2 linked regions of the Canis lupus familiaris genome follow. The protein of the gene in region 1 interacts with the protein of each later gene in a pairwise test. Links are inferred from orthologs where the notes say so. Each region holds a gene or a part of one and is shown in the gene's direction. Other genes may lie near its edges.

What was found.
Region 2: the proteins of UBQLN4 (region 1) and pre-mRNA-processing factor 40 homolog A interact in a two-hybrid assay, tested with the Homo sapiens proteins (2 studies listed by BioGRID and IntAct). The link is inferred for Canis lupus familiaris from reciprocal best matches to the Homo sapiens genes UBQLN4 and PRPF40A.

The regions. Positions count from the first base shown.
Region 1 is NC_049228.1:41,748,002-41,752,379, forward strand, and holds the start of UBQLN4 (ubiquilin-4), read left to right. Parts: upstream 1-1,529; 5' UTR 1,530-1,583; coding exon 1,584-1,691; intron 1,692-3,103; coding exon 3,104-3,255; intron 3,256-3,619; coding exon 3,620-3,837; intron 3,838-4,378. Other genes in the region: ragulator complex protein LAMTOR2, read right to left, coding at 201-363, 524-591. UniProt on the Homo sapiens protein: Regulator of protein degradation that mediates the proteasomal targeting of misfolded, mislocalized or accumulated proteins.
Region 2 is NC_049240.1:55,413,895-55,417,558, reverse strand, and holds part of pre-mRNA-processing factor 40 homolog A, read left to right. Parts: intron 1-21; coding exon 22-83; intron 84-1,244; coding exon 1,245-1,376; intron 1,377-2,818; coding exon 2,819-2,911; 3' UTR 2,912-3,664.

The DNA.
Region 1 (4,378 bases):
GGCTTCCACCGACGACCATGGCCGGCGGACCAGAAGCCCGGTCAGTACTAGGTGGCCGGCTCCCTCCTCACCACTGCTTGCTGCAGCAGACCAGCCCTCAGCCACCCTCGGAGATCCCGTCCCCGCCCCTCCAACCCCAGGATGCGGTCCAGGTGGCCCCATGGCACCCCTCGGGACAGGGGGTGGGCCCTGCTCCGTACCATGCAGTCCATGAGGATGAACTTGAGATTGTCTTCGTTAAACGCCTGGTTCCCGTTGCGGTCGTAGGCGGCCCAGATGTTGCTGGCGATGGCCGCGGTGACCCGGGCGTCCGTGTCCCCGTAGCCGGAGTAGGCCAGCAGGGACCCCTCATTATTCAGCAGCCTGGCGAGCGGCGGCAAGGGATACAGATGGGCTGGGGGCGGCGACAAAGGCGGCTGCGCTCTCAGCCCGCCTCCCGCCGGGCGCCTCGAGAAAGCGGGGGTCAGGGCAGAGCGCGCCCCCCAGACCCTCCCTCCCCGGGGTCCTCCCCGGTCGCACTCACAGCGTGCTCTGGACACCGCCGGTGTTGGCCTGGCTCAGCACCTGGGTCAGAGCCTTGGGACGCAGCATGCCTGCGGCTCCCAGGTCTGGGCTTCCACGCCAGCCCCTGAGCTGCCTCCCGCGGGCCTCCGCGGGAGCCTCCCCGAACTCCGGAGGTCCCGGCCGGGCTCGGGGGCGGCGACGCAACGCCGCCACGCCATTCCGCCGCGGGGGGCGCCGGGACTTGTAGTTTCATGCGGCCTCGCGGCGCACCCCGGGAAGTGTAGTTCGCCTTTCCAGGGGAACCACGCGGTGGTGGTGGGGGGCGGGAAGAGCGGGAGCGAAAGGACCTGGCAGGACTGGAAGGACGTTTAACACCCCCTACCCCCATCCCGGGGAAAGAAGAGTCAGCATGCCCGCTTTACAATCCCTGACCACTAACTGAAAAAGAAATCCCAGTATTGGTCAGGCACACGTTCGATTACTCTTCAGGGCAGTTTCCTACGCCGTGCACAACCCTGGGGGTCGGGATCGGGGCTCAGAAAGTCCACGCCGGCCGAACCCAGCCCACGCTGGCTCCCTTGGGAGCCGTCCTTAGCCAACCCCGTGCAGGCCACGACCCCTGGGGGGACGGTCGGTCCCAGAGGTGAGACTCTGGGGGGACGTCCAGGCATGAAGGACTCCGGCCCGGGAGCCCCGAGAATGGGGCGGCCACGGGGACTGCGTCAGGTCCGGGAGCCTGAGTCCCCGCGTAGGTGGCGGGCGGGGATGGTGGAGCGCCCACGCTGGAGGCCAGAGGCCCGCCCCGCCCAGAGAGGCCCCGCCCCCGAGAGGTCCCGGCTGCAGTGCCCCCACCAGGCCGCCCGGGGCGCTGTGAGCGCAACTGGTCCGGAGGGCGGCGCGGCCGCGGGAAGGGGAGGGGAGGGGAGGGGAAGGGAGAGGAGGGGAGGGGAGGGGCCGGCAGGGCAGGGGAGGGCGGAGGGGCGGAGGGGCGGAGGCCGGAGCAGAGCCCGCCGGGCGGGCGGCCGAGCGGGGAGGAGGGGCCGGGGCGGGCTGGCGGGCGGCCGGGTGGCGGCGGCGGCATGGCGGAGCCGAGCGGGGACGAGGCCAGGCCCCCCATTCGGGTCACCGTCAAGACCCCCAAGGACAAGGAGGAAATAGTGATCTGCGATCGGGCCTCCGTCAAGGAGGTAGTACGAGCGGCGAGGGTGGCGGAGGAGGGATCTGCGGAGAGGGGTTGGCCCCGAGGCGGGGGGGGCGGGAGGCCGGCGGCGGAGGGGGCGGGGGCCCCGCAGGCTCTCGGAGGGGCGGGGGGGCAGGAGCGGGGCTGGGGGGCCCCCTGGGGGGGCGCTGGCCAACGCGGCGCGTGCGGCGGATGCCAGGCCGGGGCTGGCCTTGTGGCCTGGGCTGGGGGCGTGGCGGAGAGCGGGGAGGGGGCCCCTTGCAGCGGGGAGGGGAGAAACACTGGGGATGCGGGCCGCGTGCGTCCGGGGGCTGGCCGGGGTTCGAGGGGCCGCGGGAGGCGGGGGCGCCCGGGGGCGCCCGGGACTGGGGCGCGGGGTGCTGGGGGAGCGTTTCCCTCCGCCCTGATCCGTCCTACCTTTTCAAATCAAGGCCCTTACAGTTGGCCCTCGCCCCTCCGGAACTTGCTGTGTGCAGTAGGTGCTCAATAAAAGTGTGTTGACCGAGTGAATGAGGGAACACCTCCTGTGTTCGCCACCCCCTGTGGCTGCTCCAGAATTTCACATGGGCGGGGCTTTAGAGAGGCCATCTGGTTGGAAGGCAGGGATCTGGACGCTGCCTTGGCTTAGCAAGTGCACTCTCTTGACAGAGAGTGGCCTGTTTGACGTGTTTGGGCTTGGTTTGAGGGAGAGCTAGTAGATTTGGGGGCCTGCCTCTCCTCAAGCCAAACTTTAGTGCCATCACTGCCCCCCTGGAATGTGAAATGACCACATTCCAGAGTGTGCATCCTCTGCCCTGCAGAGCTCAATTTGGAATCAGCTTTAACCGAGTGGAGAGGCCGAGTGTTGGGTCAGGAGCCAGGGCTTTGGTGTCAGGACCCGAATTCCAGTCTGCCCAGAGTGAGTTACATAACTTCTCTGAGCCTCAGTTTTCTTCGCCTGAAAGTGGAGATAACGACCCATGTGTATCTTATCAGTCTGCGACCCTTCACTTCTGAATGGTCGCTGCTCTTAGCGATGATTGTGGGGTCCGTGTGTTGTCCTTGTTACGAGAAGGCTGGGCCTGGGCAGAGAGACCTGGTGGCTAGAATGGAACGCTGCAGGGGTCAGGGTCTGAGTCCAAGGTTGCTGAAGGAGTTGGGACCAAGAGAGCCACCAGGGCAGTGCTGTCACCACAGGGAGCAGCGGGGAGGGACTGAGGGGAGAGTCACAGGGAAGGCTGGGCCTTCTAGGGTGGGAGACCCTGGGGTTGAGCCCAGGGGAGCCTGTCACTAGTCCATCTCTGGTTAATGAAGGCACAGCTCACTGCAGCTGGATGGATGGAGTCTATACTGCAGAAGGGACTTCCCGAACTAGAGGCAGGGTCCCTGGTGGGTGGGGCCCAGGGAACCTCTGCAGTGACCTCTGCCTCTTGACCACAGTTCAAAGAGGAAATCTCCAGGAGGTTTAAGGCTCAGCAGGATCAGCTGGTCCTGATCTTCGCAGGCAAGATCCTCAAGGACGGGGACACACTGAACCAGCATGGGATCAAGGATGGGCTCACTGTCCATCTGGTCATCAAGACCCCTCAGAAGTAAGTCCAGGAGAGGAGTAGATCCAACTTCTCACTGGGCCTGTTTTCCTCCTCTGGTACTCACATTCTTACCTGTCGCTCACCTACCTGGAGGGCCATGCCAGTGCCCAGGAAGGTGGCCCTTGGACGGCTCCCCTACAGGGGAAAGGAACCTGATGTAGCTCTCCCAGAATGCTGGCAGATGATACTGCCCCCAGCGGCACCCCTGTGGCTGGGGGAGCCCCCTTACCCCCCTACCCCACCACCACCTGGCCCAGGGTTGCTGAGAAGGTGGTGGCATTAGGGCAGTAGCTGCACCAAAAGGAGATCCTTGTTCTCTCCTTCCTGTTCACTTCAGCTTGGACTTTATCTCTCTGTCTCTCAGGGCTCAAGATCCAGCTGCTGCTACTGCTTCTTCCCCCTCCACTCCAGACCCTGCCTCAGCACCCTCCACCACTCCTGCTTCACCTGCTACCCCTGCACAGCCCTCCACCTCTGGCAGCGCCACTTCAGATGCTGGCAGTGGAAGCCGGAGGAGCAGTGGGGGGGGTCCCTCCCCTGGGGCTGGGGAGGGACCCCCCAGTGCTACTGCATCCATACTCTGTAAGCCCTTAGGGAGGAGATCACAGTCCTGTGTGGGGCTTGGGCTTAGGGGAGAGCCAAGAGGAGACAGAAACACGGTCCCTGCTCCTAGTCTGATGGGGATAGGGGACCCCTGGACATGGAGTTCCAGACACTGGTACTTGAGCAAAGCAGAGGAGGGAAAAACTGGTCTATGAGGCCCTCCCAGAGGAAAAGAGCATGGATGAGTGTAAAGGGGGAGGGAGGAAATGGGATTGCGGATGTGGGGAACTCGGGGTGAGGATATGGGTGTGCAGGGACCAGGGGGATCCAGCAGTGACCAGTTGGGGAATATTTATTGCTCGTTCAGCAGGCCACCACGGTCGGTCGCCCTCTCTGTGCACAGTGCTGGGCTTGGCTCTCAGCGTCTGCTGCCAGAGAGGTCTTGGTTGTTGAGGCTCCCATCTCTGCCAGCAGTGGGGCAGGGCTGGGGCCAGGGGAAGGATTGGAAAGGGAGATGTGAGAAGCAGACAAGGCCCATCTGGAGACCTGACCAGTGGCTGTGGCCTGGCGGGGGCAGGGT
Region 2 (3,664 bases), on another chromosome or scaffold:
TTTTCTTTTCATGCTGCTTAGAGAGAAGTTACAAGAAGTCAAAAAAGCATAAGAAGAAAAGCAAGAAGAGGAGACATAAATCTGTAAGCAAGCTTTTAATTTTTATACTGCCCCTAGCTTTAGCCCTTAGCTTACTCAGCGGCGATAGAACCCTTTTCTGTCTACTCCTGTGCAGTCTAGCACAGTTCCAGTGGACACCTGAACTCAGGAATTACATCATTTGTCTTCACCATAATCTTCCGTTAAAACCTTCTGGTGAGCTTTTAAAATAAACATACATCAGCGTTAAGATTCCCACTCTGGCTTTTTAAAGCAATCTTAGAGAAAGACCCAAGTGTTTGTGTGTGTCTTGCAGTTGTGGTGAGAATCATAAGTCTAAATGTTCACCTCCTTCTCTACTCTTAGTTCTTAATTTTACGTATGTATCAAGATATCCTAAGGAGGTTTTTTTTGAAACATAAGTGAGTAGGTGTTTATTACCTATTGAGATTTTTTTCCTTCGTGCCACTCACTCGAATTTGTACATATCTAATAAAGGACCAGTTATTTAGGCAGTGACATTGCCATTTCTTTTTAATTTTTTTGATATTGCCCTTTAAATCCTGCTTTTTGGGGCACCTGGGTGGCTCAGTCGGTTAAGCGTCCATCCAGCTCTTGATTTCTGCTCAGGTCATGATCTCCAGGGTTTAAGTTTAGGTTCTGTACTCATCATGGAGTCTGCTGAAGATTCTCTTTCTCCCTTTCCCTTTGTCCCTCCCCTTGCTCTCTCTAAATAAATAAAATCCTTTAAATAAAAAATCCTGCTTTTCAGTTATAGTTTTGAGAGAGGAATTTTATTATATGATGATCAACCTATTAGGTGATTAACCTAATCACAGTATTCTGTACACATAGCTGAACAAAAAAACCAATATTTTATTGGGTTGGTGGAAAGTGTAATGTTTGTCTACTTTTACATTATAGGCATACTCCCATTTTGTATGCTTCCCTACTTTAGTGAAACTCTTTTGCGATGTTACTGTATTAAAATGTCACCCTTCCCAAAGGATAGACAGACTCCCTCCAATGAATCTTGGATATGTTCCAGAATCCTTGAGGTTACTAGTTCAGTTTTCACTGCACTAGGAACACATGCCCTATGATAATATAAATATATAGATGTTCTTAAATATTATCTAAATGGAGATACTAAAAAACAATGGTTTTCTTCATCAAAATGCTAATGTTATTTTTTATTTACATAGGACTCTCCAGAGTCAGATGCTGAGCGAGAGAAGGATAAAAAAGAAAAAGACCGAGAAAGTGAAAAAGATAGAACTAGACAAAGATCAGAATCAAAACACAAATCACCTAAGAAAAAGACTGGAAAGGATTCTGTAAGTATTCAGAATTATTTCATACCTGGGTTTCCAGAATAGAAAAAATAGATACTGTGGTTAGTATGACATTGATGGACTTTTTCTAGGTTAGCTACCATTTGAAGAAAATGAAGAAAATTTAAAGGATATAAGAGACTCAGATCAGGGTTTCTCAGATCATAGGTTCTCCAGATATACACTAAGTTCAGTTTCAAAATGTTAACTTTGTAGGAGTAATCATTGTGAGAGAAGAGGTGAGGGCAGAGGGATAGGAGGGGACTAAAAGCCAAAGTTAACATTTTAATATCAAATTAGTCTTTAATTTCCCGTGTGTGTGTGTGTGTGTGTGTGTGTATAAACGACAGCACAGTAACACCGATCGTCTTAGCCTTGCCATTCTTCCACAAATACTGTGGACTTAACAGGAATAATGCTACTAAATCAACCTATGACCGTCCCTTTAGTGTTTTAATTAATTCAGTTGATATAAAGGTTCTTTTTAAAAGCTGCCCTGGTGAGTTTCGTGCACATCCTTGGTGAAGATTTTCTGTTTCCTTAATAACAGCGTTTAACAGTTTGTTCTTTGTAATCAGTTAAATGAAATCTCTGAAGGAAGGAGAATAGATGAACTATCTACTTTTTAAAGATTGTTTTTCACAAATACAATATTTTTTAAGTGTTCTTCAGACTATTGCCCTGCTCATAAATTTTAAATGTTTATTCTCATAAATCTTCAATGTTTATCTAAGGATAGTTTGTTTAAAGGATAATACTTGGGGCACCTGGGTGGCTCAGTGGTTGAACTCCTGCCTTTGGCTCAGATCCCGATCCTGGGATCAAAGGATCCAGGGTTCGAGTTCCACATCGGGCTCCCCAGAGGGAGCCTACTTCTCCCTCTGCCTGTGTCTTCCTTGCCGCTGTGTCTCTCATGAATAGATAAAATCTTTTTTTTTTTTGGTAAAGATTTTATATATGTATGTATTTATTTATGAGAGATACAGAGAGGCTAAATAAAATCTTAAAGTAAAAACATAATACTTGTTTGTAATATAAAATACTTAGGTGACCTGGAATCTACAAAATTAGCAAGGAATATAGTGCTTTAGGTTATGAACACTGGCTTCATTAAATGGAAACCAAATGTTTCACATACAGAGGTGTTCGAGGAAGGGAAAGAAAAAACACTGTGTATCTTTCTGCCTGATTTACATATTAATGCAACCTGAAAGCACCAAAGTTCACCATGTCCCCTAATAAAGCCAGAGAATGGTTAGCAACTCATTAACAGGCTTTTGGAAGAGAGGTCAGTCCTAAACCCTCTGATGAGCAGCTTGTTTCTGTGGAAGAGAATCCATATACATTTTGATTGCCTTTTCTTTCTTTTTTTTTTTTCAAAAGTTCAATACTACTAACCTTTTGAGTACTGACATAAGATGTAATCCTATTCAATGTCTTTTCAGGGGAATTGGGATACTTCTGGCAGTGAACTGAGTGAAGGGGAATTGGAAAAGCGCAGAAGGACCCTTTTGGAGCAACTGGATGATGATCAATAAATTATACCAAATATATGTTTACAGTATGATTTAAAGTCTAATTCAGACCAGGGACTCTATTTTAAAGTTCAATTGAAATAAAACACTGGGTTTTAATTATATCACAGGAAAAAAAAAGTGCATTTAAGTATTGTTATTGTGGACTTTATAAAAGCAAAGGAAACTGAAAATAACTTTTGATTCTGTATCAAGAATCATATTTTCATATGGTCATAACTGTCTTTCTGTGACCCTTTCATAGGGCACTGCAGGATGGATTAAAGGTGGCAATTTACTGATAACTGCAGATGTCTCTACTTTGTTCTGAAGTCTAAGTCATGAGGCGATTTGATTTACTTTATAGAAGTTGGATTTTGAAGATATAATGAAAAATTTTTTGATACTTAGTAGTACAAAAAAAGCACCAGCAACTGATAAAACTGCTTTTTTGTGCACTACCCAACTGGTTCCGATATGATCTTTTATGGTGAACTCAGAAATAGGTGTTCTTAATGGAAACCTGTCAGACCCTTAACTAACTATAGCGGTGCTAAGGAGCACTACTATAATAAAGCCACCATTATTTTTTATGAAACATCTGAATACATTAAAAAAAAAAAAAAGGCTGTTGTGAGGGCATTATTTTGAGGTGATGTTTAAAAAGTTAACATCAAATCAAATTGTAAATTAGTTTAAATATATTGCCTTAAGGACCTACTAAAGAATGTGCCACCAGACTTTAAGTGATAGTTGCAATATCCTTGTCTGAAACAA